Linked DNA regions of Bombyx mori. The protein of the gene in region 1 purifies or fractionates together with the protein of each later gene. This does not show direct contact. Links are inferred from orthologs where the notes say so. Each region holds a gene or a part of one and is shown in the gene's direction. Other genes may lie near its edges.

Region 1 (6,639 bases):
AAACTTTAATATGGAAAAAGAATTGATTACAGTAAAAAGTAGAATGAATATTACAAGTGAAAAAATGTATTTGAAGCACAAACAACAAAGAGCAAAATACTATGAAGAGTCCTGATCATGAATATCAAAGAGATCTGTGATTTATTGTCAAATCATCCATTATATGACTTTTTTTATTATTATCTGAGTATTTGTGCATTCCCTTACTAAAGTTAAAACAATTCAAAACTATTCGTTCTTATGTGATTATTTTAGAAAGAAATAATTATGTAAGAACTTTTATAGATTGTTCTTTAAAGTAAGGTCGCATCGTCAGTCGTCTTTAAATTAGTTACATTACACGCTATGCTATATAACATCAGTGAGCTAGTTTTTCCACAATTTTTTTATACCGAGTGACCATGTTCATTGATAGTCAATCCAGTCGAAGGTATGCTATTTAATTCCCTGGGTTCCTCTTGAGCTCAGACCCCACCTGCTGTTACGTGGTAACTGGAGCCCATAGACATCTACGACGTAAATGCGCCACTCACCTTGAGATATCAATTCTAAGGTCTCAAGTATAGTTACAACGGTTGTCCCACCTTTCAAAGCGAAACGCATTACTGCTTCACGGCAGAAATAGGCTAGGTAGTGGTACCTACCCACGCGAACTCACAAGAGGTCCTACCACCAGTAATTACGCAAATTATTGCGGGTTTGATTTTTATTACACGAGGTTATCCTCCCGTCTCTTCTGTCAAGGATACTGACTTGTGCGCCCTCAATAAGCATTTTTCTCTCCCTCCTGTGTCACTTAGTGACTCGTCAAAGACGGCCACGTTGCTTAAGATTTCAAGTCTATCCGTACCCCGGATCCCTATTTTTGACTTAAGTCCAGTCTCGGTTGCTGATGTCCGTAATTTCTTTTTCTCCATCTCATCCACGGCTGTTGGAATTGATAACGTATGCTCTAAAATGATTGCCCTAATCCTTCCAACGGTAGCACCTATACTTACCCATATTTTCAACATTTCCTTTACCTCTAGCAACTTTCCTGATTCTTGGGAACAAGCCTATGTTGTTCCTATCCCAAAAAGCCCCAATCCTATTTTGCCATCTCAGTTCCGTCCTATAGCTATACTTCCTTTTCTTTCCAAAGTCCTTGAGTATATTGTCCACCGTCAGTTGTCGTCTTTTCTCCTCTCCCACAATCTTCTTAGCTCCTTCCAATCTGGTTTTCGCAAGGGCCACAGCACGGTTACAGCTCTTCTAAAAGTGACCGATGACATTCGCTGGGCCATGGAAAACAAACAACTAACTTTATTAGTGTTGTTAGATTTCAGCAGCGCCTTTAACTTTGTTGACTTCGATGTTCTGCTCGAAATACTCAAATCAAACAATATCTCCTCGTCTGCTATTAACTGGTTTGATAGTTACCTTCGGGGGCGCTCGCAATGTGTCCGTCTTGACGAGACTTTCTCGGATTGGCAGAACGTCAGTGCGGGCGTTCCCCAGGGTGGTGTTCTTTCTCCTCTTCTGTTTTCTGTGTTTATAAACTCTGTCACTAGGCTTATATCTTCTAAATTCCACCTCTACGCAGACGATCTCCAGCTATATCGCCACTTCTCAGAGCCTGACGTTGAATCGGCTATTGCTGCGATGAACAGTGATCTGAAGTCTATCACTGAATGGGCAAAAGCCTACGGTCTGCACATTAATCCGGGAAAATCACAGGCTATCATTATAGGGGGTAAACAATTGCGCAGTAGACTCAGCGATCCTATACTCCCCCCAATTTATTTGGATGGGACTCAAATAACTCTAACCGATTCAGTTAAAAACCTGGGTGTATGGATCGACATCTTTCGTGGAGTTCTCACGTTGCTGAGATTAGTAGGAAGGTGCACTTCGCCTTGCACTCGTTGAGATGTCTGCAGGGCTTCTTACCTCAGCATACAAAAATATCTCTCGTCCAAGCTCTCATTCTACCCATAATTGATTACGCCGATGCCTGCTACTTGGATGCCACTGAGGAGCTCTCAAACAAGCTTGAGAGGATGCAAAATCTATGTATCCGTTTTATATACAATCTCAGAAAATTCGATCATGTTTCACATTTTCGCAAAGAACTTAAATGGCTCCCTATACGCCTTCGTAGGAATACTCGAATATTATGTCTCCTATTCAATATCCTACATAAGCCCACTTCTCCCTTATATTTACGTGAGCGATTCTCTTTCATTCGTTCTCCTGATGCTCCCTGCAGGTCCAACCAACGTTCTGTTTTGTTATTCCCTTCTCACAAAACCAATTTCTATTCTCACTCCTTTACTGTGCACGCGGTCAGACTGTGGAATTCGTTGCCGGCTGACATCCGAGTTTGCAAGTCTGTTTCTGTTTTTAAATACAAGGTCAAACAATTTTATCTCTCATCAACCGAGTGATCATGGTTCTATACTCTTCGTATATACGAGTGTTACTGTGACTTATAATATTTTGTACTCAAGTTTAACAATATTTGGTATGTGTAAGTGCATTACTATAATTCTCATGTTGTATTTGTTGTTTTAGTTATGTATTATTTGTTCTACACACACTTATCACTTTTTATTATTATTCTCATTATCCTCTCGCAGGTTTGCTGGAAGAGATTTCTTAAAGAAATAAGCAGTGCCTTTGTACATAATTTTCCTATTACTCTGTACTATGTCTTTTTTTCTGTGTGTACATAAATAAATAAAATAAATAAATAAGTTATTCCTTCACCGTGGAAGTCAATCCAGAATATTAGTTGAGTATGTATTTCATTAGAAAAATTGGTACCCACCTGAGATTCGAACACCGATGCATCACTCAACACGAATGCACCGAACGTCTTATCCTTTAGGCCCCGACGACTTTTTTATCAAGGTATGTTGCTTAACACTCAGCTAAGCAGTTTCCCTGGCGAAAGTCGACGAAATGCGGTTTGAAGTGCTTGATCTTTTTTTTTGGACTGGGGGCCGAACTTTCTAGGAATACCCCGCCCCTAGGGGCGCATGGGGTATGGGAGTGAACCGCGGGCCTTCTTTTTGTTTTTTTTTAACGCTGTAGAATCCGTACGGTTACCCGGTTGAGGGGGCTTACTGACCGCTACGACTCCACGAAACCCACAATACCGCGCCGAAAGTCCGCCTTCGCCGGTACCGCGGGCCTAAAGGATAGAATTTAGGGCCATACCCACTACACAACTCCCCTGCACTCTCGCCCAATCGTCTGATACCCTTCCAGGTCAGAACCCGGGTGAGGTAAAGGGGTTATCGCGGTCAACACTACAGACAGCGCAGCTCCCCCGAGGACGTCCGGTCGACGGAGCCTTTGAGACGGAATGCTCTACAGCCGTCAGCCGTCTGGGTACGATAGCCCGTCAGGCCACCCACACAGTGCGACTGGAGTCCCGGAATACCCCGCTGGACTAGAACCAGGCTGTCGGGTCGGGATGCGATACATCGCCAACCGGTTGCTCTTTTTTCACGTTGATTGTGTAATTCTTCGGTAGCGCACTACAGTGCTTCAGCTGAAGCAACATCTATTTTTTTCTAATCCAAAAGTGTGACAGTTTTTTTTCGCAAAATAACTCCCGAGTGCTATTTAAACAGTTTGTACAGACAGTTGTTTGTTTGTTAAATAAATACATATACATAAATATATACATATAAAAATGTGTATATATAAATAAATATCAATTAGATGACTCTGCTAACTCTTAGCAGAGTCATCTAATTGATTCTAAGTACTCGAAACCTTGTCTTAAACTCTGGCCGACCTTATTTTAAGTGGGAGCGCATTCCATAGAAGAATAGATTGAATAGTGAAGGAAGAATGTAAAAAGTCCGAACTACCTGCGAACTAACAGCGAAGAAGAAGATTGTGAGATGAACGAAGATTTTGGCTGTAGTCAAACCCTAAGTATTCAGGTGGATTTGGGAAGTGCAACAAAGAGTAAAGAGTACTGAGAGCACGCAAGCTACGGCGTTGTCGAATGGGGAGCAATTTGAGTTGGGAGCGATGAGAAGATACATGATCGTATTTCCGAAGATTATAAATAAATCGAATGCAGTTATTGAGAAGCCGGTTAAGTTTATTGAGTAGATCTGCATTCAGGTCAAAGTAGCACACATCACCATAGTCGATCATGGGGAAGATCAAAGTTTAAACGAGCATTGTCTCTTGGTTTCGGGCGGAAGGATATTGTTCAGGCGGTAAAGCATACGGAGTGTAAGTGTAACTCACTGACACACGGAGATGACCTGGGCTCGCCAACTCAGGCTGGAGTCAATAAGTAGGCCTAGGTCCTTTACAACCGAACACCAGTTGATGGTTAAGCCAGCATATATTATTTGATAATAATATAAGACGACTGTGATATAAAAACTTTATTTAGTGTTTGAGCCATCATATATATTAACGGTAAGTCTCAATTGTTATTGGTTTTAATGTTTTTTGATAATTTAAAAATACATATTAAAATTGTTATGTTTGGGGTTAATGGGGTCACCTGAGCTACAAATAACAATGAAAGGGAGGTCAATTGGGACGACAATAAGTTGAATGGGAACGACTTAAGTATAAATACGTACAGGATTGTAGGGTTGTCTATGTAGTTATAACAATCTTTTTTAAACGTGTTGGTAAGAATCTCATTTATTCATGATGTTTTTGTCTAAAACTTTTATTTAATTATTAGTGCAATTATATTTATATTATCAGTTACGTATTGTTTTCTATTTTTAGATATGCCTCGCGTGTATGTATCAAAGAGTGCAAGCTTTATAAGAGATATGATCCCTTAATATTAAAAACAGCAATAGAAGACTATGAATTTGGGAATAAGTCTTTAGTTGAAATAGCTAAGCAATTTAATATAAGTAAGTCGGTTTTGCACAGATATATAACAATTAAATCTCAAAGTGGACAAAAATGTCTAAGTAAAGAAGAAGAAAAATACAGTTACACACATATTAAACAGTTAATAAACCACCATTATTACATATCTAAACCCGAAGAAACACTAAATAGACAAAATAAAACAAATCACACAACTTCACCCCTCGCGTTCCCGCCAAAAAGTCCTAAAACCAAACATCGTAGTCATAGACATAGATTATACACTTAAATATTCGAGTCATTGATACACATAATAAAATTAATAATTGAGATTTGAGACCATACCTTGATAGACATAAAAACATTGATTTCATTGATAGCGTACCTAACACACGGCAACAGACACACAATCACAATTAAGAAGAGGTACCAACCGTGTACCAACCTAGTTGAATCTGATTCACTCAATTTGAGTTCACCTATTCAAGAAAAGGCGCCCAAAATATTATTAGGGTGAGGATGAGTAAAACTTTGCTTAGTGTTCAATGATAATTTAGGAATGTGCCTATAGTTTAAAGTCTTTGTTAGATAAACCCAAATATTTTTTAATGTTTTTAATTAAAATTTGTTCCTTTTAGTTACTTTACCAAAATGTCAAAGCGTCCCGCTTCCGAAGCATTAATAGACGAAGTAAAAAAGGCCACGAAGGATGGCAAGAAACATTCCTTGGATTCCGACGAAGAAGATAGTGGTGCTGAAGAAGAGAAGAATAATGTTATGAACTCCAATGATATTGAAGGTGAAGAGGAAGGAACTGGTGGAATGGAAGGTGAAGTGAGTAGAATAAGTCAAAAACCTAATCAGAATACTCAAATTGTTGTGAGAATTAAAAAATGTTTCTTTTTCCAAACAATACTTAAAATGCTTTTGAGGATAATTCAGCTAATTTAATATTAACAACTTAATTAATACTTATAACTATCAAATAAAATATTAATTTCATTAATTAGTACTATTTTATAGATTACAATAACACCTTTTAACATGAAAGAAGAACTTGAAGAAGGGCATTTTGATACACAAGGACATTACCATTGGAAAAAAGAAAAAGAAATTCGTGATGGATGGCTTGATAACATTGACTGGGTTAAAGTAAAAGGTAGACCAGAGGATAAATATAAAATTCATCATAGCGATGAAAAAGGACTTGGTGATGAATCTAGTAGTGAAGATGAACAAGAACAACAATTTGATTTGATACATAACTATAAAGAAATATTACAACATATGAAACCTAAAGAAACAATTGCCAAAGCTTTACAGAGACTTGGTAAGTTTTATTCTGGTACCAGTTATAATTATGTTGTAATAAGTTTTTGATCTGACTAGTGCTCTTAAACGGTTGTTACCAAATGTTCACCATAGTACTATGTTATATGTATAAATGTGTCTCTAAATGGGAATCATTTGGTATGTATAATAAGGTGGAGCACCTGTGTGGAGGTATTGCTGTTGGCTTTTTTAACTTCACCGGGCAATCCAAGTGGAGTAATATCCAGAGGATTTGAAAGCTGTAATCTAGTAAAAGGAGCTGTAACTGAGATGCATCAGGCCATATACTTAGCAGGTCCTGCATGTTAAAACTTTTGAAATGTTCATAGTATTCTTGCATTTTTTACTGTTTGTTGTTGTTTGTTCATGTTAATTAATTTAAATTTCTCTACTTTTAAGAATTACATTCAGTATCATATGGTGCTGTTCAATAACTTGACAGTCTATTAATAGCCTACA
Region 2 (5,868 bases), on another chromosome or scaffold:
AAGTGTTATAGTCCAGATATGTAAATAATTAGGTGCTCACTCATAAACTTCTGTAAAACAAGTGATTTGTAACAACATTAGAGAAAAGTATAGAACCCATAGTTGTAAATTGTTACTGTTGTTGTACCCATGAACATTGTTTTACAACATGAATGCCAACAGACATCTAGAGACAAGGTAGAACATATTTTCCATAAAGTTAATGCTAGTTAAAAATTTGGCACAAAAATGGACTGATATATGTAAAATTAAAACATCGATTCGATGGATAAAACATTGACAAGCAAATTTTAGAACTAGAATAAATTTATATATTATTTTTTTCAATCGTCCTTCTGATTATCTAGAAGATTGCACAAAGTGGGTATGAGTTGCTCGCTCCGGGCATTTCAATATTGCAATAATTGTTACGTTATAATACTCATTATAAAAATGAATATAAAAAAAATATATATATATTTAAAAAAAAGATATGCCCGCTGAGTTTCTTGCCAGTTCTTCTCAGGTCGAAGGCTAGTTTTTGTGAATTGGCGGTAGTTCTTTTTGACGTTCAACAAGTATGTACTTTATGTTGAATATTTCTTTTTTTATTTGATTTTATTCCTTTTGATTCAGTAAATATTCTTAGAATTTGTCTACTACGCTAATATGTCATGTAGGTTTCCACCTGAAGAGTGATTCAATCAACAATAATAATTTGTCAGGTGAAGCCGATGAATCGGATCCGTTCGGCAACACGAGCGCGGAGTACATGGCGCGCAAGGAGGAACAAATAGAGAAACGTCGCAACAGGAAGGTGTCCGCTCAGAGACAGCAAATAGACAAGGACAACGACCTCTGGGAACGGAACAGGATGCTGACGAGCGGGGTTGTCCACGCCATCAACGTCAACAACGATATGGATGAGGTGAGCAACTGACAGGTCCTTGTATAGCGCACCGCCGCACATTGTGGTCGTATTCTTTTTTTTTTTGGAGATTTTATGACCTGGTAACTAAGACCTTTTAGGTCATGTCTTATTTAAAATTATATTCTTATTTTTGTGAAAAATGATAATATGAAATGAAATGAAATGAGATGAGATGATATGGTATGAAATATAATCTCAGTAAAATGGTGGTCGTTTGCTGAGGCTTTTTCAGTGGACTTTTTGGAGGATCCCGAAAAGTCACGTTCGGTGGCTTTGTTTAATTTTCCCACATTTATGCACTTTCACAGATAATAAACAGTTAATAAACCACAGTTACTACACATTTAAACCTGAAGAAACACTAACTAGACAAAATAAAACAAATCACACAATTTCACTCCTCGCGTTCCCGTCAAAAAGTCTCGTGGTCATATTCAGAGGTTTATGTTAAACAGAGAATCAAATGAGTATTTTAAAAAAAGAACGTAAAGTACAGATTATATTTATTTTTGTCACAGACTATAACAGAAAACTAACAGGGAAACATAAAAAGTCTGTACAATAAGTTCTGTGTCCTGTGTTCCAGGAGAGCGTTGACCGCGTCCACCTGCTGGTGCACAACATCGTGCCTCCATTCCTCGACGGAAGAATCATATTCACGAAGCAGCCGGAGCCCGTGATACCGGTACGTGTGCATAAACTTCACGTAAAGTTACTGTCTGTATTGCTGTCGGTACATCTGGTGTGATATGGTCACCAGAGTCCTTGGTCACGTGAAGTCGAAGTCTCGTAGCATTGTGTATCCATTGCCCCCCTTTCAAAACGGAACACGGGACTGCTTCACGCGTGGGTCACCGTTCTGCTTACTCGCGCCGCGAAATAAATATGCATCTTAACCCATGCATCAGCCCGCTGAGTTTCTCGCCGGATCTTCTCAGCGGGTCGCGATTCCGATCCGGTAGTAGATTCATTCGCGAAGCAATTGCTCTTGAGTTGTTAGATCTCCTTCGGACGCGCTCGGGCTGCTGTTAGCAAATCCCACCCCTCCTGACCGAGCCCTTGCTTGCCCACCTGTCCTAGTGAAACTGGAAAGGCCTCCGGGCCACCAGTAATCCTTCAATCATAAAAAAATGCAGTTTCGTTTGTATGCACAGATTTTTTAAATATCGATTCTTTAACCTCATTAGTAAGCACGGCTGACATAATTTATGGTTTAAAGTCGAGGGACTCCGGTATTCACTTTATTATTGTCCAGGAAGGCAGTCCAGCCTTACGCCTTACCTAATGGTGAGTGGTCATCGTCGCTCATCGACATGAGCAATGCCACTATTGTAAAAAATATATAAATATATATGTATAAGTAAATAAGATTTTATTTATTTATTTAGTTGCACCAACAAAGTGATTATCAATACAAGACATTGATAAATTGACAAAAGTACATGGCAGATGTCACCTCAATTATACAGACCGTTCAGCATAAGATGTCCCCTGCCTTGAGAGTTGGTAGCATTGCTAACGGTGTTGCAAACAATATATGTACCTTTTACTCCCTATTATCTTGTGTGTAATGTAAAATTATTGTTTTGGCTTCTGTTGCTCTAATAAAGACCCCCTATATTAGTTTTTCTTCAATATCTTCAAAGCACAGATATCGACCTGACTTATTTTTATTATATGTCTAGATAATATATAGCTAACAGACTAGGAAGTTTGTAAATTATAACACAATTTAAATTTTAAATTATTTATTTATTTCATTTTTACTGACAGTAATTATGGTCGAAAGAAACGATTCCAGACTGTCACTTGCATAAGCGTCGTCTGACGTATCCGAATCTGTACTGCTGTCGTTTCTTAGTTCAATTATGAATTTATCCGTAATATTATCCATGCAGCCATCACGTTCATAAAATTTGTCTTCTAAATGTTTTACGTGTTCACGCTGTTTTTGCCAATCCTGAGGAGTTATCGATGAAAAAGCTTCTTCAGTTAACTTCACGATATTACCAGCTTCTTGGCCGACATTATTGCTAGCTACTCGAGATTTGAGTTTTTGAGACGTAGAGGCAGCAACTTCACCTTCTTTAGTTATTCTACTCATAGTTTTCTCAGACATGCCTGAAATAAAGACATAAAATTTGTATCCTTTTATAAAATTTAATATTTATATAAACTCAAGTAATGACCATATTATCGAAATAAATTAAACTCACTGAGATGTGTACTTTTTTATTTTAATTCTATATGTCAGTAAATTCTTATTACCCATACTAAAGGCATTGTGTCTGAAGCTTGTATCCCCATTTTACTAACCTGTCATTGCGGCGACTCGTGCTCGCACTTGATCGAGTCTAATTAACGGGGCTTGGTTTGCCTTTTCTCTCTCACAAAAGGCATGAACCTTCAACACAATCTCTCTTGCACTGTTTTTAAATGGCTTTGGCATGAATAATTTGAAGGTTATTAAATATTAACACAAAAACTAACGGCACACGTCACAACAGACAATCTGACAACAACAGATTGACAAAAATTACAAGTAATAGTGCCAACATCACGGCAGGGGACAACTTACGGTGAACGATCTGTAGGTGCAACGACAGTGAATTGACAACAAAAATAAAATAAAATATATACCTAAAACTTGATTACATCTGATTACTTATGATTAATTTATATTTAATCGATTAATTTATAGTTTTAGTTTCGTGATATCGATTAGAAAGTTTGTTTAATAATATTTTAAAAAACTTTTTAGGTAAAAGATCCTACGTCGGATATGGCGGTAAACGCACGAAAAGGCTCGGCCTTAGTGAAAGCATTCCGAGAACAAAAGGAGAGACGGAAAGCTCAGAAGAAACATTGGAAATTAGAGGGAACCAAACTAGGTAAATGATACCCGCCAATATTCTCTTCGCCGGCTTTACTAGACACATTAAAATTATAACGTCTCTTTTTTAATACAGGCAACATCATGGGAATACAGAGGGAAAAAGAAGAACTCGAAGATGGCCCTACAAGAGAAGCGTACAAATACGCGGAGCATTTAGATAAAGGTATGTACGTGAAGCGCGCTGTGTGCATTTCATTTTCGTTACGAAGTAATTTTCAATCTACTTCCTTTTTTCAATCTGGCAATATGCGTTTGCAACGCCAATGTTACCACCAACCAATATTAATGAATTTATAAAAACCATTAATTATTAGAACCATAAATATTCCGTCTTACATGATAAAATGATGATGAATGAAGTTAAGTTGATTTATTTTAATAGATTTTTTAATCTATTGACATGAAATGAAACGAGATTACCCTAATGTCCCAGTGTAGATGTTTTGAAGGAAAGTGCGAAGCCATATCCAGTGATTTTGTATCATTTTTCGCTACGTACACAGACGCTAAACTGCTAATAAATCACTATTAGTTACTAGCAGAAGCATTATAATAAAATTAACACTAAACATAATAACGTATCGAATGACCCATTTTGAACTTTTGCAATGAAAATGCACGTATCATCTTCATGACTTATTCTTACCAATTAATCTACAGTTATTATACTACTTTTGAAGTGAAAACTTCTTTAGAATCGTTGTGATTTCAAACCGGATGCAACGGAAAAAACGACAGGTAAGAGACACAAATACAAAAATGTGTAGGATGAAGCCAGCAAAGAATGAGACAGAAATATACATACTATTTAATACAGCGCCATCTGTGAGATTTTTCAATACTAACGTGTGTATGAAAGCTCTTGTAGTGAATTTTAATTTAGGATTATACGTGAAATTAAAATATCAATTCACAGAGGGCGCTACCTTACAATTATTTACTAATGACAAAATTTTACATATACTTAAGACGTTTAGGATAATTGTATTTTAATTTTGGAAGGTTTCACTTCTACCACGTGTGAATTGCACACATTTTGTTTTTTTGTTTTTGTTTTGTTTTGTGTATTTTGAGTAATACTTGTCGTATACCGTTATCTACCCGCTATGGTAGAAATAGGTACCAGTAAGGGTTAGTATGATTAGTGTTAACAAACGAAACATTTAACGCCAATTAGCTGCCCGCGACTTCGCCCGCCAACTCGACGCGCAATGTAGGTATTTGTGTCCACCACACGACGCGCAATGTATTTGTTTTATAAAACTTTTCCTTCATTCTCAGAAGCTCAGGAACCGGAATCGAAGTCGGACTTCGTGAAGAAGATGTCCATATCGGAACAGAGGCGCTACCTGCCCGTGTTCGCCGTCCGCGAGGAGCTGCTGCAGGTCATCCGGGAGAACAACGTCGTCATCATAGTTGGTGAGCAAAACGCGGGCTGGTGGGGCGCCGGTGGCGGATCAATATTCAACTTTATTATTACCAGTGTTACGGCTCAATCTCGCTTTCTTGTTGCCATTAAATTAGTTTCGATGTTGCGAATACTATACAATTTTAGTAATCACGGATGATTGGATGATGATGATGCGTATATAATACATGGGGTTAAGGTGCTTGAAACGGGAGCTAAACTTAAATTGGTTATATTAAATTGATAAATAGATTTTTGTAAATGTGTGGTTATTTACAAGGAAAGGTTTCTTGGAATCGTTCCCGTGGTTTTCTCGAATAAGGGTCCGTTCACACAGATCGGCTCAGAAAGGAGACCAGGTTTATATCACGTTAGAAACAGAGTTTTGAGTAAAGTTTATTGAAGTTGAAGTTGCGTTAAACGTCTAACGCTACCGTACTAGAAAGAGACCGAGCGAGAGTGAATGCGTGGCACTCGAACACACGCGCGTAGTATACCTGTTACAGGCCAGCGCGGGCGTTAGCAACGAGTAGCGTCCAATATTTTAATGAAGTATTTAAAAAATATATTATGTATATTTAATTTTCTATCTGTCATTTAAAATATATCTATACTCATACTATTAAGTATAAGTATAGATATATTATTATATAT
Region 3 (5,868 bases), on another chromosome or scaffold:
GTAAATTAGATTTTATCCGTTCCAGTTAATGATGGCCAACGCTCAGAAAGAGATAGAGGAACGCAAGAGAGCTCTTCAAGTGCTGAAGGGGGTTGAGACCAAACCGAGTGTTAATGCTGCGGTGGCTGCGGCCCAACACCTGAAAGTGCAGATGCAGCAGAACAATGCAATACCCCCACCGAGTGTAATCAAACCTGTACTGTATTCAAAACCTGGTAAGTCTCAGTTTACACCTCAAGCACCGGTCCGGACTCCGACATGCCCCGCCCTCCATCACCAGTGGAGAGCGGAAGTCCGGCGATGTCCTCCTGACCAAAAAAAAGCTTTTTTTTTTGCTTAAATGGGTGGACGAGCTCACAGCCCACCTGGTGTTAAGTGGTTACTGGAGCCCATATACATCTACAACGTAAATGCGCCACCCACCTTGAGATATAAGTTCTAAGTTCTCAGTATAGTTACAACGGCTGCCCCGCCCTTCAAACCGAAACGCATTACTGCTTCACGGCAGAAATAGGCAGGGTGGTGGTACCTACCCGCGCGGACACACAAGAGGTCCTACCACCAGTAAAAAGTTCTGTATTACACGTATTTATTTATTTATTTGGGAAACAAACTGTACAATACAAACATATAATATTTAAAAAAAAATAGCTAAAACAATAATCAAATATGTTTCCACAATCAAAATCACATATAAATGTAGAAAGTGAACAGAGAAGAGAAATATAGAAATTTCAGAGTTACAAAAAAACAAAAGGAACACAATACCCACATATTATTTTGTACATCAACTTACACTATAAGACTATAATATATTATACATATAATTTTGACGTGACAACGTCTTATATTTCGATGGATGCACGCACGAAAAAACATGACTCATGCGGCGTTACCTCGCTCTGAGGCGTTCCATTTAAGGCTTGAAGTGCAAGCGAGAGCGCGCAACGAGCGACAAAGAGGCACAATCGGCCTCCGCGTTCGGCAGCGTTCGACATCTGTCTCTCTCCTACTTGAGTGAGCGATGCATCCGCGTGGACAGCTGCTATACAATAATACATTTACATGTTTTCGTCAAGTATGAAGTTCAGTGAAAAGTGAATGTGGTGTCAATTGTTTATAGCAACGATAATTATTGAAAAATGAAACCATTCCATCAGTATTTTCTTATGACGTTGTCACGTTCAACTATCGTCAGTAAACCGACTTTACAGACAATCGTTTTTTTTACAGAAACTTTGCCGTTATCACGCGAAGAATTGGAGAAGCAAAGGAAGATAGCTGAGCTGCAAGCGAGGATACAGCGGAAACTTGCAGGTATTTGCACCTCACCGATCATTAATACTGTCAGGGTGTTGTGAACTATCATATAGTCATCTGTACCTTGTTACCTTCCTCATAGATAACACACACAAATTAGTTATAGATAAGCAACTCAAGCACTCAACAAAAATGTTTACGGGCGTCGGCCACTGGATGGCTTCGCTTCGATTATTTTCTCATTGCTCCTGTAGATGGCAGTAACATATTACCTATCCTATATTTCATTTTTAATGAAGGATTTTGTAAATTAATTACTGTCGAAATTATTCTTCGCAACCCCGGATTTGGTTTTGTACGAGATAATGATAAAGAAGCCTTTATTAACAACCTTAATTCATATTTAGGTACTATGCATACTATACTTTATTTATAACTTCATATACTATAAAGTATAAAGGCGGACTTAATGCCGCAGGCATTCTCTAACAGTCTACCTTAGGGGAGTGCAGAGATGAAGCTTGGTAGGTGTAGTGTGATAGTGATATTAAACATAATGTGTATATATAACATACATATTATAGATACAAATACTCGTACTTAAATAAATACATATACATAGATTTGAATTTGAATTTGAATTTAAACATATAGATATACATAAATATATAGATATCATAAATATATACATATGAAAACATATATAAACAAATATTATCAATTAGATGACTGCTCACTCTCTGAGAAACAGTTCTCGAACCATCGTCTTAACCGCTTTTTTCTCTTTGCATTTGACATCGACTAAGATTGTTTTGCTTTCGCATAGGCCTCCCCCAAATCCTGCCCTAAGTTCCGGTCGTGGCATTTCCTCTTCCAACTAGAGCCTGCAATGACTTTCATGTCGTCTACCCACCTTTGGAACGGTCGTCCTTTTAATCTTTTCCCATCTCGAGGGTACCATTCAGTTACTAATTTAGCCCATTTTTCTGTTCAGCTCCTTATTAAATGACTTATCCATTTCCACATTAATTTTTTAACTGTGTATGATACATCCGTTATTTTTGTTTTCATACGGATGGATATCTTTTAATTTTATTTTATTCTTTTGTTTTAGCATTTAACATGCTTCTCTCCATACTAGTTACGAGACGCTTTATTTATGTTTAATTTTCTCTGCTTGGTTATGCAATAAAAGACGTTTCGTTGTCAGGGGGTGCCTTATCATCGACGCCGGGGTCGGGACCTGCCCCCCTGATCTTGGACCGTGAGGGTCGCACCGTGGACACCACGGGCAGGATAGTTCAACTCACCCACGTGGCGCCCACGCTTCAGGTTAGCCAACGATTTTTTTAATGCGTTTCGGTTTGAAGGGTGGGGCAGCCGTTGTAACCATACCTGAGACCTTAGAACTTGTATTTCAAGGTGCGCGGCGCATTTACGTTATGGATGTCTATGGGCTCCAGTAACCACTTAACACCAGGTGGGCTGTTAGCTCGTCCACCCATCTAAGCAATAAAAAAAAAATTAAAAAAAATATTGCCCTTGTAGGCAGAGGAGCATACGGCCCACCTGATGGTGAGTGGTCACCGTCGCCCATGGACTTTAGCAATGCCAAGGGCAGAGCCAAGCTGCTGCCAACCGTTAAATACTCTCCACAAGCCTCGTTTGAAGAAGGACATATCATAGCGCTCGGGAAACACCGTGGAGGGGATCTCATTCCATAGCCGGACGGTACGTGGCAGAAAAGACCTCTGGAAGCGCACTGTGGATGACCGCAGTGGCTCCAGGTAGTATGGATAAACTCTACTCCGGTGGCGGGCGGTGTGATGGTAAAAACGAGATGATGGGATCATCTCAAACAATTTCTTCGAGCGGCGGTTACTGGTGGAAGAATGTGTTGTGAGTCCGCGCGGGTAGGTACCACCGCCCTGCCTGTTTCTGCCGTGAAGCAGTAATGCGTTTCGGTTTGAAGGTTGGGGCAGCCGTTGTAACTATACTGAGACCTTAGAATTTACATCTCAAGGGCGGTATTTATGTTGTAGATGTCTGTAGGGACCACAAATGTCCCCATTGCAATGCATTGCATTGCAACAATTATATGTATGTGTTAGTGGTAATGATATTGCAATGATGCTAGGTCAGTCTCGGGATTGTCGGGCTGTCGATAGCACGTTAGGTTGTAATCCCAATATACGTTAGTCACTTAACTGGACACGTGTCTTATTATAGAGACCCAACATGTCTATGGGCTCCAGTAACTTAACACCAGCTGGGCCGTGAGCTGGTCCCCCCCCAATAATTCGATTTTCAGGCGAACATAAGAGCGAAGAGACGTGAGGAGTTCAAAGCTCAGTTGTCCGGTCCCACTGAGGAGGTGGGTCCGGAGTCGTCCCGCTGGGTGGACCCGCGCGTGTCCTCGCGCCCCCACGCGCGCGCCAAGCGGCCCCTGCGCTTCCACGAGCCCGGCAAGTTCCGCCAGATGGCTGAACGGCTAAGGATGAAGGTACTCCGTCTTGACAACTCCTCGACTCACCACAGGATCCCTTCATGATCAGTACCTCAATTACAGGATCCCTTCATGATTGATGAACAAACACAAGCTTGTTGTGCCGATGAGTAGGTTACATAAGATACGAAATTCATTCGGGTGTTTGTCTGTGCGCCTGTACAACAAAATCCCACAAGATGTTCAGAACCTTACTCGTGGTAGGACCTCTTGTGAGTCCGCGCGTGTAGGTACCACCAACCTGCTTATTTCAGCCGTGAAGCAGTAATGCGTTTCGGTTTGAAGGGTGGGGCAGCTGTTGTAACTATACTGAGACCTTAGAACTTATATCTCAAGGTGGGTGGCGCATTTACGTTGTAGTTGTCTATGGTCATGTCGTTTAAAGCCAGATGTGTCAATGAAGATCCCCCCCTCCCCAGGCGCAACTGGAGAAGCTGCAGAACGAGATATCCCAGATAGCGCGGAAGACCGGCATCTCGTCCGCCACCAGGTTAGCGCTGCTGGCGGCCGACGCGCCCGACGCCGACGGACCCCCCGACGTGGAATGGTGAGCCCCCTCCCAACCCCCCGGGGGACCTGACCCCTTTCGGTACCCCTAAATAACATAGTCATAATTCTAGGGAGGAGCTTAGATAACACGTTCACACTGGTATATCGTTATCAAAGTTTTGTAATTGAATTTGAAAAATTAATTACCTAAAGGTGGGTAGTACCTATCTAACAACTAAACAGTGCCAGCCCTATCGAAAAACTCTATTGTCTCCATAGGTGACCCGATTCACCACAAAAGCCAAAGTGAATCAGGTGAAGCTGGTTTTTAAAGTTTTGTATAGATTTTTCAATGAACTATATATAATAATGCGGCGTATATGAAAATTTAAGTATCCGGAACCATTTTAATCTCAATTTTATTGGTATTACCTTGAGAGAAACCGCTGAAAATTTGTGTTGGAATAGGAAAGCGGCCCGATTCCCCCCAATCTACTGAATATATTTTGATACTTTTCCAAAAACACTGCGCAATTCTACTCTGAGCGAACTCCACATTAATATACATAGACGAGTGGGTACTGCGCTTTGTGTGTTTGTTTGTGTATGCGATTATTTATTTTATTTATTTTATTTATTTATAACTTTATATACTAGACAGTATAAAGGCGGACTTAATGCCATTCTTGAGATGAACCTTGGTGAGTGTGGTGTGATAGTGATATTACTTAAACATATGTGTATATATAACATACATCATATTTATAGATACAAACACCCGTACTTAAATAAATACATATACATAAATATATATTTACATATAAAAATGTATATAAATAAATATTATCAATTTACGACTTTTGAATAAAATAAAACCAAAATCAAATCAAGCGCCGAGCTTTTCATTAAGTTCGCGCGCACGTTCTGCTACTTGGCTTCGATCGCGAGCGGTACGAGCGCGTACAATATGCGGCGGCTACAGTGACAGCTGTCACTTTTGACACGTCGTCTTCTCGCATTAAAACTGTATAATCTCAAAACTTACTAATTTTACAGGAGAGTGTTTTAAAGGTTCAACATGTGGTATTTTTAATATTAATAATCATCTTCATCATCATCATGCTTTCCTATTACCCTCTGCTGGGGTGTAGGGCTCGAATCAAATTTTTCCATTTGTATCGGTCTTGGGCAGTCTGTTCTAGCTCCTCCCACGTCATGCCCAAGACCCCTAGCTCCTGCTCCACCGAGCGACGCCAAGTTGTTCTGGGGCGGCCTCTCTTCCTTTTACCAGACACTTTCCAGGTCAGTGCTCTCTTTGATAGGTGTGTATCGGGCTTTCTCAGAGTGTGACCAATCCAATGCCACTTCCGCGTAAGGATCTCCTTCTCCACTGGTGTCTGCCTAGTGATCCTCCACAGCTCTTTGTTAGTGATCTTCTCAGGCCAAAAGATTTTCAAAATCTGACGCAGGCACTTATTCACAAACACTTGAAGTTTTTTGATCAAGTCCTTGCGAACAAACCAAGTTTCGCTCCCGTACAGCAATACAGACTTTACATTTGAGTTGAAGATCCTCACCTTTGTTCGTCTTGTTAAGGTTGAGGAACTCCACAC
Region 4 (6,653 bases), on another chromosome or scaffold:
ATCAGCTATCATTAGCACGGAACCAGAAGTGCCTCTTCGCGTCAATGGGTCTCCAGCATAATCAGAGTCACTGTAAGCATCGATATTCTCTATCGGTTTGTTTCGTTTGAACAAAATGTCTTTCTGTTTTGTTCCCACAAATTTTTTTAATATTTTCTTGACGTTTATAACGTCTTCTCTAGTGGGGTTTTCGACCTTCCTATACTCGATACTTGATCCGGCACATTATCCTTACCTACAATCTCAATGTCAAAGAAAAACAAATGGCTTAGGCCTTGTCCGCACAGCGATATTTCACCGCGCGATATTTTTCTCGTAGTTCTGTAACACATTTAATATTATAGGAGTATCCGCACTGGCGGTAAAAAAATCGCGCGGGAAAAAAATCTGTGACTTGATGCAAATAGAACGCGAAGCGGTGCGATTTATTTTCGCGCAAACATTTTATACCGTATAAAGTAAGGGCCTGTCCGCACAGCGATATTTCACCGCGAGGTTTTTATTCGCGCGTATTAAATTCCGCGATCGACATTACACCTAGTACGCACTGCGAATAAAATTTTGTACTATTTTCGTCAGTTTATTTAAGTTCTCGGCTGAGACGCACGTGTAAAATGGACAACCGAACAAAAATTTTAATTTATCTAATGCTAAGATGGCGTAACAAACGTATCAAAATATTTCATGAGAATTGGATTCACCCACTTACGGCATTGAGACCCATGAAAGTTTTTTCTACATAAAATATCAAGAGTGCGAAAATACAGCAAAAAGTTTTTTGGCTATTACAGAATGACAAAAATATCATTCGATAATTTACTACAACTACTTTACTACATCTTTTCAATAGCGAGGTTGTAGGACTATGAGCGAAATGCGCGAATTTTATTCCACAGTGCGAACATAGCCATACTTACTCTACACGATACAAAATATTCGCGCGGAAATAAATCGCACCGCTTCGCGTTCAATTTGCATCAAGTCACAGATTTTTTTCCCGCGCGATTTCGTTCCCGCCAGTGCGGATACTTCTATAATATTAAATGTGTTACAGAATTACGAGAAAAAAATCGCGCGGTGAAATATCGCTGTGCGGACAAGGCCTAAATATTACCAAAAATTGCCAAGTTACTCTATAATTACAATATTGGCAAAATAATAACTTTTTGGCGGAAATTCGAGGAGCGAAGCTTTCAAATATTAATCTATGAGCGTAGCAGTGTCAATTGTTTTATTTAATTTATGTAGTGTCTTTTCAGATTAAAATGCGTAATAATGGTGGTTAATTGACTGTATAATACCTTTGAAAGTGCACAAATGTATGAATATGCAACAAAGCCGTTAAATGTAGCTTCTCGGGATCTTTTTAAAAGTCCATTGAAAAAGTCTCAGAAAATAATTCCCATTTTACTGAGACTATATTTCATCTCATCTCATTACGTTTCATTTCATGCCAATTGATTATTGTTCCAAATTAATCAACTTCATTTCATTTCATATAATCATTTATCATAAGCAAAAAAATATGAAAGATTAGGCTGTATGGTATCATACTTTTGCCTTTCCAGTTCGAAAATAGAACACATACTCCTACTAAAATATTTTTTAATGGATTTTATGACACGGTAACTAAGATCTTTAGGTCAACTCTTAATAAAATTTATATTCTTATTTTTATGAAAAATGATAATATGAAGTGAAATGAGATGAGATGATATGGTATAAAATATAATCTCACTATGATAGTGGTCATTTACTGATACTTTTTAGTGAACTTTTTGGAGGATGGATAAGGTCTCAAGTATAGTTACAATGGCTGTCCCACCCTTCAAACCGAAACGCATTACTGCTTCACGGCACAAATAGGCAGGGTGGTGGTACCTACCCACGCGGATTCACAAGAGGTCCTTCCACCAGTAATTACGCAAATTATAATTTTGCGGGTTTGATTTTTATTACACGATGTTATGCCTTCACCGTGGAAGTCAATCGTTAACATTTGTTATGTATTTCAATAGAAAAATTGGTACCCACCTGAGATTCGAACATCGGTGCATTGCTCAACACGAATGCACCGGACGTCTTATCCTTTAGGCCACGACGACTTCATATTTCATACTATATTATCTCATTTCATTTCATACCACTTCGTATTACCATTTTTCATAAAAATAAGAATATAAATTTAATTAAGACCTGACCTAAAGGTCTTAGTTACCGTATCATAAAATCCCATAAAAAGTTCATTTAACGATTAATATTTACATTTTACATTTAGATTTCAGATTCTTCATTTAACTACATTGTCTAAAGTCTATGATAGTAATAAAATGACTGAAGAACAATCTAGAAAACGCAAAATAACTGATGAAAATGGGACTGACAAACAAGGTACTTGATAATGCAATTCTAACCTTCTATGATTCTGCACTCTACTGCTATTTGTAATCAAAGTATTATTATATTTTCAGGACGATATTCGAAAACTCAACAAATTCAATGTCCTTACCTGGATACTATCAATCGGCATGTTTTAGATTTTGACTTTGAGAAATTGTGCTCGGTTTCATTGACTAGAATCAATGTTTACGCTTGCTTAGTGTGCGGTAAATATTTTCAGGTAACAAAATATTTATGCAATTGTCATGGCTTTGGTGATTAGAGGCTTGAACTTTTTTTTACAGGCAAGTTACTTGTTTTCATGATGACGATTTTTATGAGCGCCAGTGTTGTTCCTGGCATTTCATTCCAGTTCTTTGCTGTAGTGATATGTAAGATAGGTTATTTATGTTGACTTAGGCATAAATTTGAATTAATCACTTGCGAAAAAATCATTAAAATCTATCTACTTTCCAGGGAAGAGGCACCAACACTCATGCCTACACACATTCAGTGGCTGATGGACACCATGTATTTTTGAATCTTAACACATTAAAGTTCTATTGTCTTCCTGACAATTATGAAGTTATTGGTAAATTACATATTTTTAACTTGGTTAGCTAAAATAGCTTTTATGTTAGATATAAATTAATTATAAATAAAATAATAATAAGATATAAATGAATTCGGTCAATTGATGATTTTGTGCATTGAAAATATTTATAAAATATTATGATTAAGAATTGGTGCATTTTACAGTTGTTAACACATGCGATAACTTAAAATAAATTGTTAGACTTTATTTTTGTAAGTAAATTAATAATAAGGAAAATTTGACTGATTTTTAAAATTTTATACACCAAAATGGAATCAAGTAAAATACTTTTAAGCTTAAATTTAGGTATCAATGACTAGAAGTACAGTAAAGCTTTAAAACTTGTAATAGTCTAATGGACAAGACACCCAGTGCATTTGTATTGGGCAGTGCAACTGTGGTGGTGTTTGAATTCTGTTGGCAGGTACCAATTTTTTTAATATGTATTTAACACTTCGTTGGTGAAGGAATGTATCAAATCCATCTTGTGATTATAATAAACTTGCATAAATTATAATTTGTTCTAAGGGTGACTTAAGAGCTTGCATTTGTAAGTACCACCACTCTGCCTATTTCTGCCGTGAAGCAATAATGTGCATTGGTGAAGGGGACAGCTACTGTTGTACTGTAAAACTGAGACTTAGAACTCCTGTTATAGGGATGCGGGTAATCACATAGCATCAGATGAGCCGGGAGCTAATCTACCTATCACAGTCATAAAAAAAGACAATTTCACATTTTAGACTCTTCATTGAATGACATCAAATATGTTTTGAACCCAACATTCACACCTGAACAGATCAAGCTTATAGATACTAACACAAAGATGTCACGAGCCATTGATGGCACAATGTATATGCCTGGCATTGTAGGCCTTAATAATATCAAGGCCAATGATTACTGTAATGTAATTTTGCAGGTCAGTATATGTTTTTATTAAATACATTTTATGATATGTACTGTTTTTATTGTATGATAAATGCGACTTATATTTTTGTTGCCGGCGATCTGTGAAAGTAGATGCGTTACAGTCAAACTGATTCTGTTTTAACCATTATGTATATTTGTAGTGAATAATTACACAGTGCTACAAAGTCTTAATATTGTCACAGTTTTATACTAAATTCATTTTATGATTTTAGTGTTTGTCACAAGTACGTCCCCTACGTAACTACTTTTTGAGAGAAGAGAACTATGCTAGTGTAAAAAGACCACCAGGGGACTCGTCTTTTTTACTTGTACAAAGATTTGGTGAATTATTACGCAAACTATGGAACCCCCGTGCTTTTAAAGCACATGTATCTCCTCACGAGATGTTGCAGGCTGTTGTGCTGTGGTCTAAGAAGCGATATCAGTTTATTAAGCAGAGTAAGATTTTAGTAGTTTTTTGGATATACGAACATGCTTTCTTAGTGTAATTTCTGTATATTATGCTAAAAAGTATGAATATTGATTGATCAGTTTTATATTTTAATTATATATTGTTTTATAATAATAATAAAAATTTATAAATAAATAAATTTTTGCTCAGGTGATCCAATAGACTTTCTGTCTTGGTTTCTAAATTCATTACACATGGCACTGAATGGTACAAAGAAGCCAAATAGCTCCATAATTTATAAGTCATTTCTGGGTCACATGAGGATCTATACAAGGTAAGATTTAAGCATCTGATTTTTTAAAGTTCAAAATAATTAACATTTAATCTATCATTATATGCAGTCAAAAATTTCTGAACAGACTGAAATTTTCAGAAAGTTGCCACCGCCGGATGCTGATGATGCAGCTAAAGTCGATCTTAGCAGTGAAGAGTACAATGAAATGATCACTGAGTCTCCATTTTTGTACCTCACATGTGATTTGCCTCCAACGCCATTGTTCACTGATGAGTTCCGCGAAAATATTATTCCACAGGTGAAAATACCTAGTATTGTTGCAATTTAAAAATTGTATTCACTAACTTTTTTATTTTTTTATTAAGACTGGTTTTTTTATATCAATTCACATCCACTTAAATAGGATTTAAAACAAAAAACTTAACATAAAAACTATTTGAAACTTCTGCTTGAATATTTTTAACATTCTTGTGATATTACAGGTAAATCTTTACCAGCTGTTGTCAAAATTCAATGGTCAAACATCAAAAGAATACAAGACTTATAAAGAGAACTTTTTGAAAAGATTTGAAATAACACAGCTGCCTCCTTATCTAATTCTTTACATAAAAAGGTTTACGAAAAATACTTTTTTCGTTGAAAAGAATCCTACAGTTGTAAACTTTCCTGTCAAGTGAGTCATTATTGTTCAGATCTTATTTGATAGAAAATAGTTGATTTAAGCTTGTATTAAATAACAAATTTAACTAAATTTAAAATTATCAAAACAGTTGAAAAATTGCGTTTATTTATTAATTTAATGATATTGGCATTTTGAACATTATTATTCGCAAAACGCAACGCTTTTCTGTTCTGGCCATAGAAGTGTTTTTAAAATGTCCATCATTCACAACAATGTTAGTTGTCTAAATTAATTAACCTATTTTATTTTAGAAACGTCGATTTTGGCGATATACTGACTGCGGAAATTAAGGCGAAACATAACGGAAAAACAATATACGAACTGGTTGGTAACATTGTTCATGATGGAACACCTGAGAAAGGGACATACAGAGCTCACGTGTTGCATAAGCCTACACAGCAGTGGTAATTATTACATATTTACTCATGGCAGGGGTGCGCTATCCGCTTGAGTGATGCGGAGTACCAATACAATTATGCCAACACTTTACTTGTCTTTTAAGATATTTGATCACAAAAAAGGTTTTAAAGCGTCCACACCCATCTTTAATTTATGTATTTTTCAATGCTTACTAATATTCACGTCAGTATTTTAGAGGTACCTATTATAGAGGTTGTTTTTTATTTTATAGTCAGTATTTTTAATGCAGTTAGGTTTTTGTTTTGTCAGTATCTACCATGCTGGTTATTCTGTAAATATCCGTATTAATAATTTCAAGACCACATGTTCACCTTATAAGTATTTTTCGAGAATTTCGCTATTATTCCCATATTTCTAGGAAATTGCATTTTAGAATATATCAAAGTTCTGTTAGGTCTTTCTTATCAACTTCTTCAGTCATAGTCCCACATATTCGATGCTCCTCCTAGTTTCGAAAACCTCGGGGGAGGATCGACCCTAGGCCTGAAACTCCTTCCAAGATTTTAATGATTGTAGTCAAGATAGCCTATGGCACGGTCGTAACCAAGAATAGCGTGTTTCCCAGTATATTAATAAAAACATTACTGCCAGTATTGAAAATTAATTTTTTGTCACAGGTATGAGATGCAAGATCTTCATGTTACCAGTATTTTACCTCAAATGATTACACTTACTGAAGCATATATACAAATATATGAACTAAAGCAGGACTAAAATGTTCATTAATAATAAATAAAATAAGTTATACATTACATACATTTCTTTTATTGAAATATACAAATTTGTGTTAAGAATTGTGTTTAACCAACTGGCCTCTGGAATGACCTCCTTACTTATAAAATATTTATTAAATATGTGGTAAAATATATTATTATATAATAGAAAATTCATACTTTACTATTTGACACAGTTTTAGAATAATTTTCACTATGCTGTGTTTCAAATATTGTAATTCTAAATT
Region 5 (5,691 bases), on another chromosome or scaffold:
ACTATGTCCGGAGCAGTACTACTCCTTCTACTACTTGTCATATCACTCTTGTCTGCTTCGATAGTATCTACTTGTACTTCATCATTTCCCTCTACATTATTTTGCAAAATAACTTGATTTTGTTTGTCCTCCTCCATTTTAGCATTTTTGGAGGGTGACGTTGGTGTTTTTAAACTAAGCTTACATTTATCAAAATCTATGCTGTCTATTCCATCGTCTGAATCCTGTTTTTGATTAATGGCTGTCTTATATTCATATGGCTTGGTTTTCATTGATAATTTAACTCGTTTTATATTAGAATTTTTTATGTACTCTGTAATTAAAATGGTAGTTGTTATTAAATGTAGACTGTCTCATAGGCAGTAAAAATTGTTGCATTACACACACCATTAATAATAAGGTTGTGCAAGGCACTGATATAGGCCAATCCAATTGGTGGATTATATGTTACTGAAGTAGAAATTATAGATATCTAGTAGATACGACTATGCTTCACTGACATTTGTAATAAAGAAGCAAATTTGTGATCAATTTTACTTTTTTTTTACTTTAATTTTGCTTGCACAATTTGGCTTCAGTGACTTTTATCATTTATATTTTTTCTTGAAACTCTTAGAATCATTTGGCAATCATTATTATTTAGAATATAGCTAATTTTCTTGAAGAAGCTTTGATTTATACCCAAAAATCGTTCTTAGATCTACTTATATATGTTGAGATATTAATATTTCAAATTCTAATCGCATGCGCTACTATTTAAAACTCTGAATAAGCGTTCAGTTATTGATATGCTTAAAAAAAGTATATTTCAAGCTCCATACGTACTGTTTTTACTCTCATCGGCAGTTTCGCCAGATTTAATTCTTTCCAAGTCATCTTCACTAAAACCTGTAAATTGTGACATGTTTTATTTGTTTTTACATAGATATGTCAGGGTTATGTTTTTCATATAAGGTGCATTAATGTAAAAAATTGCAAAACTCATAGATAGATCGTAAACGTAAAAATCTATATTTTCATTGATTCAACACTGATTCACATCAAATTTTTACTATTCTGCAACACTACTTTGACATTGACTATTTGACGTTATTGGAACTTTTTTAATCACGTTAGATTGAATTCTGGTCTTTTAAGCCAAAAACCCATTGAAATAGTGTTTCGCCCATTTAATTATTCGAATCCATTTAACATTTATTTTAACAATATGTACATTTTGTCTTTAAAATGGTTTGGTGTTATAGCTCTACTCTCAGCATAAGCACTTCAACACACAATGTTGAAGTTCTCGTTTTCTATTCCCAAAATAGTTTTATAAAAAAACCGACTCTACTTTCAATTATTTGATGGTTTTTAGTTAGGCCAAAGATCGTTCATACCATCTTTAATTAAACAAACTTATCTAAATGTTTTTATTGCTAATATATAGTTTTATGGAAGCTTTTCACATATTTTTTCTTCTCTTCACATTTTATCAATAGCGAATTCCTCCAAATACGTTGAGAACTTTCAGCTTAGGTGTGTCGTTTTAGTCGCTACAAGCCCTTCTCTATTAGTTAAACATATTTGAAAGTGTAAAAGATTGTGGAAATATAACAAAATCACTGGACCTGACTTCTCAGGACTTTATGTTTATATAAATTAAAGAAAATAATTACCATTTTCTGTAGTTTTTTTTTCAACTGGGCTTCAATAATAATAAGATGAAATACATACTATTATTAATTTTTTACTACATTTTTTTAAAGGGATTTTATGACCTGGACTAACTAAAACTTTTAGGTCAAGTCTTATTTTAATTTTATGTTACGTAACTTTTTTATATGAAAATTATAGAAATGAAATGAAGTTGAATAATATGAAACATGGCATGAAGTGAAATGAAAACGAAATGAAATGAAATGAGATGAGATGATATGGGATGAAGTATAATCTCAGTAAAATGGTGATCATTTACTGAGACTTTTTCAGTGGACTTTTTGGAAGATCTCGAGAACTTACGTTCAGTGGCTTTGTTTCGTTTTCCCACATTTGTGCACTTTCACAGTTACAGTTAAGCAGTTAATAAGCCACCGTTATTACACATTTAAACCTGAAGAAAGACTAATTAGACAAAATAAAACAAACCACTCCTCGCGTTCCCGCCGAAAAGTCCTAGAAAGAACTAATTATAATAAATTTTAAACTACCTGTGTTTTATCTATGGTGGTGTATTATCTATGAGTAGCTGATGGCCGTGTTGCAAATTCAATGCTTTCATAAATAAAAAATAAAAAAATATCTATGAGTAGAAATTAGCGTCGAACTCGAAGCGAAGCCGATACATTTTGAGGTTATATTTTGTATTTCTTGTTAGCCGATATTAAAGTAAGTACTGATGTTTCTTAAATAAGCAATGAAAACAATAAAGGTGGTTTGAAAATGAATTAACATCCAATTTACTTTTTAGAACCTGCAAAAATGGCGGCTGCTATGCCAATAAATCCCAAACCATTTCTTAATAGTCTAACGGGTAAATCCGTGCTAGTTAAATTAAAATGGGGTCATGAATACAAAGGTTTGTTAGTATCAACAGATGGCTACATGAATTTGCAACTTGCTAATACTGAAGAACTTGTCGATGGAACTTGTACAGGTTAGTATTTAAGTGAACAACTTTAAGTAATCACGAAAACATATTAAAGCAAGAGATTAAGATCTACTGGTAGTGGACCTGGACCAAAATTGAATTAAAAATGAGACGTTCATTGTTTGTTTGGTCTATTATGAGTACACTATTCTGCACCCATTTCGACTTCAAAGCTTTCAAGCATTCTGCTTTGAAGAGTAGATTTAATATTCATATTGTAATAAACTTATAAATTCTAGAAGCCACTTAACACTAAATGTCATGGGGTTCATTTGCCCTTTTAAAGAAAAAAAAAGTACTTGCTACAAAGAATGCACAAAATCAATAAATTTCATAACAAGAGACAACTTGACACTTACAAGATTCCAAACCAAACTTTTTGGTTGTGAATAGTTTTGTGAATTTAATTAATTTAAATTAGTAAATAAAATTTAGAAATCAAATCTTAACATTTAAATATTTTTTTTTATATTTTTTTTTAAGAATCTTTTTTATTGTAATTCAGTCCATGCTACATCAAACTTAATGAAGTCATATCAGCAGAGTTCTGTAAAGCTTTAACGGCGTTTGTTTTGAATACTAGTTCAGTTAGTTCTGTTAGTCCATACATACAAAACACTAAATTAAGAACCCTATTAATTTAAGTATTGGGTTTTATTTCCAGGTAATTTAGGTGAAGTTTTAATAAGATGCAATAATGTCTTGTATGTAAGAGGAGCTGATGAAGAAGATGAAGAAGGAGAAATGAAAGAATAATTAGTAATTATTACATAAGTTAGAATAAGGAATTATCTTAAGAATAACAGGCAAAAGGGAAATTTTAAGCAAAAAAATAGAAATTTCATATTACTCTGTTAGCAGTAAAATTACCTTAGGTATATATCCCGAAATACTAATGATTGAGGAGAAAAATGTTAATTGGAACTATTGTTGTATACAATGTTTAAATGAAACAACTTTAATACTTTTTTTTTTTTAATAACTATGTCTGAAACAACCTCTTCAGCATGAATTCCATAACTTGTATAATTAATTATAAGTAAATTTTCACCATAACCTTGTTTTATTTTCTCAACACTAACTTTACAAGAAAAGGTTTGCGATTTATATTGTCCTTGCAAAAAATGAGCATGTGAAAACAGGGAAATATATTGAAATCTAATGATCTTCAATGTATTTTACCCCATTCCTTCTTGCTCTTTTTTGGCCTTTGGGTATTAGATTCCAAATTCGTTTAAAAACACAACCTCATTCGCAAAAACAATTTTCATTTAAAAAAACTTTGGTTCTCATTCTGGTTATGATTTGAAACTAAAAAGTAAATAATACAACCTTATTTTAATATAGTTAAAGCTCTAGAAGTGACTAAAAAGAGATGCATATTATTTTATAGTATCTAGTCTGTGAGAGAACGAGATAGAAAACTCCTACAGGTTACACTTCTACATTTTGCGAATTGCTGCACACTTTGTATTGCTCTGGATGAAGAAAAAAGCTGACTGCCTACTTGGTATTAAGTAGTTGCCATAGCCCACTACATAAATCATCACTCATCTTAAGCCTTGATGCATGAGGTACAGAATGCAGGATAGTGATATTATCTCATTTATGCTTATCCTGCATTCCACTTAGAATTACGAACTTATAAACATTGCCCATTCGAATTTGAACGCCTACAGGATAAGCTATTGATTGTGGAAGTCGGTGAACAAGCATTAGAACATATTTAGAGCAGACCTAAAGACAGGTCACAAACTAATGTCCTACATTAGTCTATCGTGCACGGATGACTGAAATTCTTATAGTCCATTTCGCGAGACAATAGTACTCTTAATGTCAGGGCAATACCAAAAAAAAAATTTTGGTTAACTGTAAAGTCGGTTTACGGACGATAGTTTTACACGTTAAAGTCAGTAGGAGAACTATTCGAACTGCTAGTTCTGACGTCACGCGACATAAATGTGTCACAAGCCAACACTTGGGTCGACTCTGGTCACCGTCCTCGTCGAACCCGTCGCTTGCGACGAAGGGCTCGACGAGCGAATTAACCCATAGACACAGCCCACTGAGTTTCTCGCCGGATCTTCTCAGTGGGTCGCGTTTCCGATCCGGTGGTAGATTCTGCGAAGCACTGCTCTTGCTAGGGTCAGTGTTAGCAACTCTCCGGTTGAGCCCCGTGAGCTCACCTACAAACCTTAGGGTGAAGCTGAAATAGCCTCTCATGGCTATCAGCATAGGTAGGGAAAAAAAAGGGCCGATCGTGCCTCTATCGCATGTTCCGTGCTCTCGCTTGCACGCTCAGGCGGAACGTGACATTTTTTCGTGCGTGTAGCCAATACTTATCGATTAATCACGTCAAAATGCTATCCCTCTGTCTTGTATAAGTATTTGTTAAAATGTGAGTGGGTAACATAATAAAACCACTGTAATGAATAAAATGGTTTTATCAGATTTTTCAAAAAATCCGCCTAAGACTCGGCACAAGATGATACGATTTCGCTGAAGACAGATACGATTTGAAATCTTCACGACTTTTGAGAGGATAAAAACAGCGTCGAAGACACCTTCTTCGACAGTAAAGCGAGAATGCATCAGCCCACTGAGTTTCTCGCCGACACTTCTCAGCGGATCGCTATCACAATGTCGTTATCGATTCATTAGCGAAACAGCTGCTCTTGATGTGTTAGGTTTGCTATGAAGAAGTTCAGGCAGTTGTTAATACATTCTAGATTTATGAGAAACACCCATTTATTAAAAGAAATCGAGCGCCACCTCTCGTTATTTTGTGGTACTATGAACCTTCCCTGAAATACCAACAACCACTGTTTACATCTTTCAACTGTTGTGTATAACTTTTATATAGTATCTTGTAATGTGAAAATACTACTTACTGAACATTCAATCAATTTACATTTCCGGAAAGGGATTAGGTAAATCCAAAATAATAATCACAAATCGAAGGTTTGAAATAAGTAAATTTATTGTACATAAAGGACATAAAAAAAAACATAATCATTTAAAATCTGTAGCAAACACGATCAAATTATGATTTCAATATTTAT

The links.
Region 2: the proteins of CD2 antigen cytoplasmic tail-binding protein 2 homolog (region 1) and pre-mRNA-splicing factor ATP-dependent RNA helicase PRP16 purify together in Homo sapiens (affinity purification with mass spectrometry; 3 studies listed by BioGRID and IntAct, counting the BioPlex papers as one, with this or other methods). This does not show direct contact. The link is inferred for Bombyx mori from reciprocal best matches to the Homo sapiens genes CD2BP2 and DHX38.
Region 3: the proteins of CD2 antigen cytoplasmic tail-binding protein 2 homolog (region 1) and U4/U6 small nuclear ribonucleoprotein Prp3 purify together in Homo sapiens (affinity purification with mass spectrometry; 3 studies listed by BioGRID and IntAct, with this or other methods). This does not show direct contact. The link is inferred for Bombyx mori from reciprocal best matches to the Homo sapiens genes CD2BP2 and PRPF3.
Region 4: the proteins of CD2 antigen cytoplasmic tail-binding protein 2 homolog (region 1) and ubiquitin carboxyl-terminal hydrolase 39 purify together in Homo sapiens (affinity purification with mass spectrometry; 5 studies listed by BioGRID and IntAct, with this or other methods). This does not show direct contact. The link is inferred for Bombyx mori from reciprocal best matches to the Homo sapiens genes CD2BP2 and USP39.
Region 5: the proteins of CD2 antigen cytoplasmic tail-binding protein 2 homolog (region 1) and small nuclear ribonucleoprotein protein F purify together in Homo sapiens (affinity purification with mass spectrometry; 4 studies listed by BioGRID and IntAct, counting the BioPlex papers as one, with this or other methods). This does not show direct contact. The link is inferred for Bombyx mori from reciprocal best matches to the Homo sapiens genes CD2BP2 and SNRPF.

What each region holds. Positions count from the first base shown.
Region 1 is NC_085111.1:10,749,068-10,755,706, reverse strand, and holds the start of CD2 antigen cytoplasmic tail-binding protein 2 homolog, read left to right. Parts: upstream 1-2,979; 5' UTR 2,980-4,431; intron 4,432-4,755; 5' UTR 4,756-4,889; intron 4,890-5,115; exon of another isoform or gene 5,116-5,361; intron 5,362-5,486; 5' UTR 5,487-5,499; coding exon 5,500-5,682; intron 5,683-5,871; coding exon 5,872-6,178; intron 6,179-6,639. Other genes in the region: methyltransferase-like 26, read left to right, coding at 1-26. UniProt on the Homo sapiens protein: Involved in pre-mRNA splicing as component of the U5 snRNP complex that is involved in spliceosome assembly.
Region 2 is NC_085117.1:18,328,406-18,334,273, forward strand, and holds part of pre-mRNA-splicing factor ATP-dependent RNA helicase PRP16, read left to right. Parts: intron 1-704; coding exon 705-907; intron 908-1,496; coding exon 1,497-1,595; intron 1,596-2,641; exon of another isoform or gene 2,642-2,654; coding exon of another isoform or gene 2,655-3,031; intron 3,032-3,226; coding exon of another isoform or gene 3,227-3,359; exon of another isoform or gene 3,360-3,671; coding exon 3,672-3,801; intron 3,802-3,879; coding exon 3,880-3,969; intron 3,970-5,087; coding exon 5,088-5,225; intron 5,226-5,868. Other genes in the region: uncharacterized protein LOC105842458, read right to left, coding at 2,655-3,031, 3,227-3,359. UniProt on the Homo sapiens protein: Probable ATP-binding RNA helicase. Involved in pre-mRNA splicing as component of the spliceosome.
Region 3 is NC_085130.1:18,555,425-18,561,292, forward strand, and holds part of U4/U6 small nuclear ribonucleoprotein Prp3, read left to right. Parts: intron 1-25; coding exon 26-215; intron 216-1,233; coding exon 1,234-1,317; intron 1,318-2,470; coding exon 2,471-2,592; intron 2,593-3,571; coding exon 3,572-3,763; intron 3,764-4,185; coding exon 4,186-4,313; intron 4,314-5,868. UniProt on the Homo sapiens protein: Plays a role in pre-mRNA splicing as component of the U4/U6-U5 tri-snRNP complex that is involved in spliceosome assembly, and as component of the precatalytic spliceosome (spliceosome B complex).
Region 4 is NC_085121.1:4,080,278-4,086,930, forward strand, and holds ubiquitin carboxyl-terminal hydrolase 39, read left to right. Parts: upstream 1-2,208; 5' UTR 2,209-2,330; coding exon 2,331-2,391; intron 2,392-2,471; coding exon 2,472-2,620; intron 2,621-2,856; coding exon 2,857-2,971; intron 2,972-3,717; coding exon 3,718-3,893; intron 3,894-4,116; coding exon 4,117-4,342; intron 4,343-4,505; coding exon 4,506-4,629; intron 4,630-4,728; coding exon 4,729-4,888; intron 4,889-5,072; coding exon 5,073-5,263; intron 5,264-5,523; coding exon 5,524-5,676; intron 5,677-6,309; coding exon 6,310-6,406; 3' UTR 6,407-6,444; downstream 6,445-6,653.
Region 5 is NC_085117.1:15,789,836-15,795,526, forward strand, and holds small nuclear ribonucleoprotein protein F, read left to right. Parts: upstream 1-2,289; 5' UTR 2,290-2,367; intron 2,368-2,449; 5' UTR 2,450-2,460; coding exon 2,461-2,635; intron 2,636-3,293; coding exon 3,294-3,385; 3' UTR 3,386-3,682; downstream 3,683-5,691. Other genes in the region: RAB6-interacting golgin, read right to left, coding at 1-313, 826-904. UniProt on the Homo sapiens protein: Plays a role in pre-mRNA splicing as a core component of the spliceosomal U1, U2, U4 and U5 small nuclear ribonucleoproteins (snRNPs), the building blocks of the spliceosome.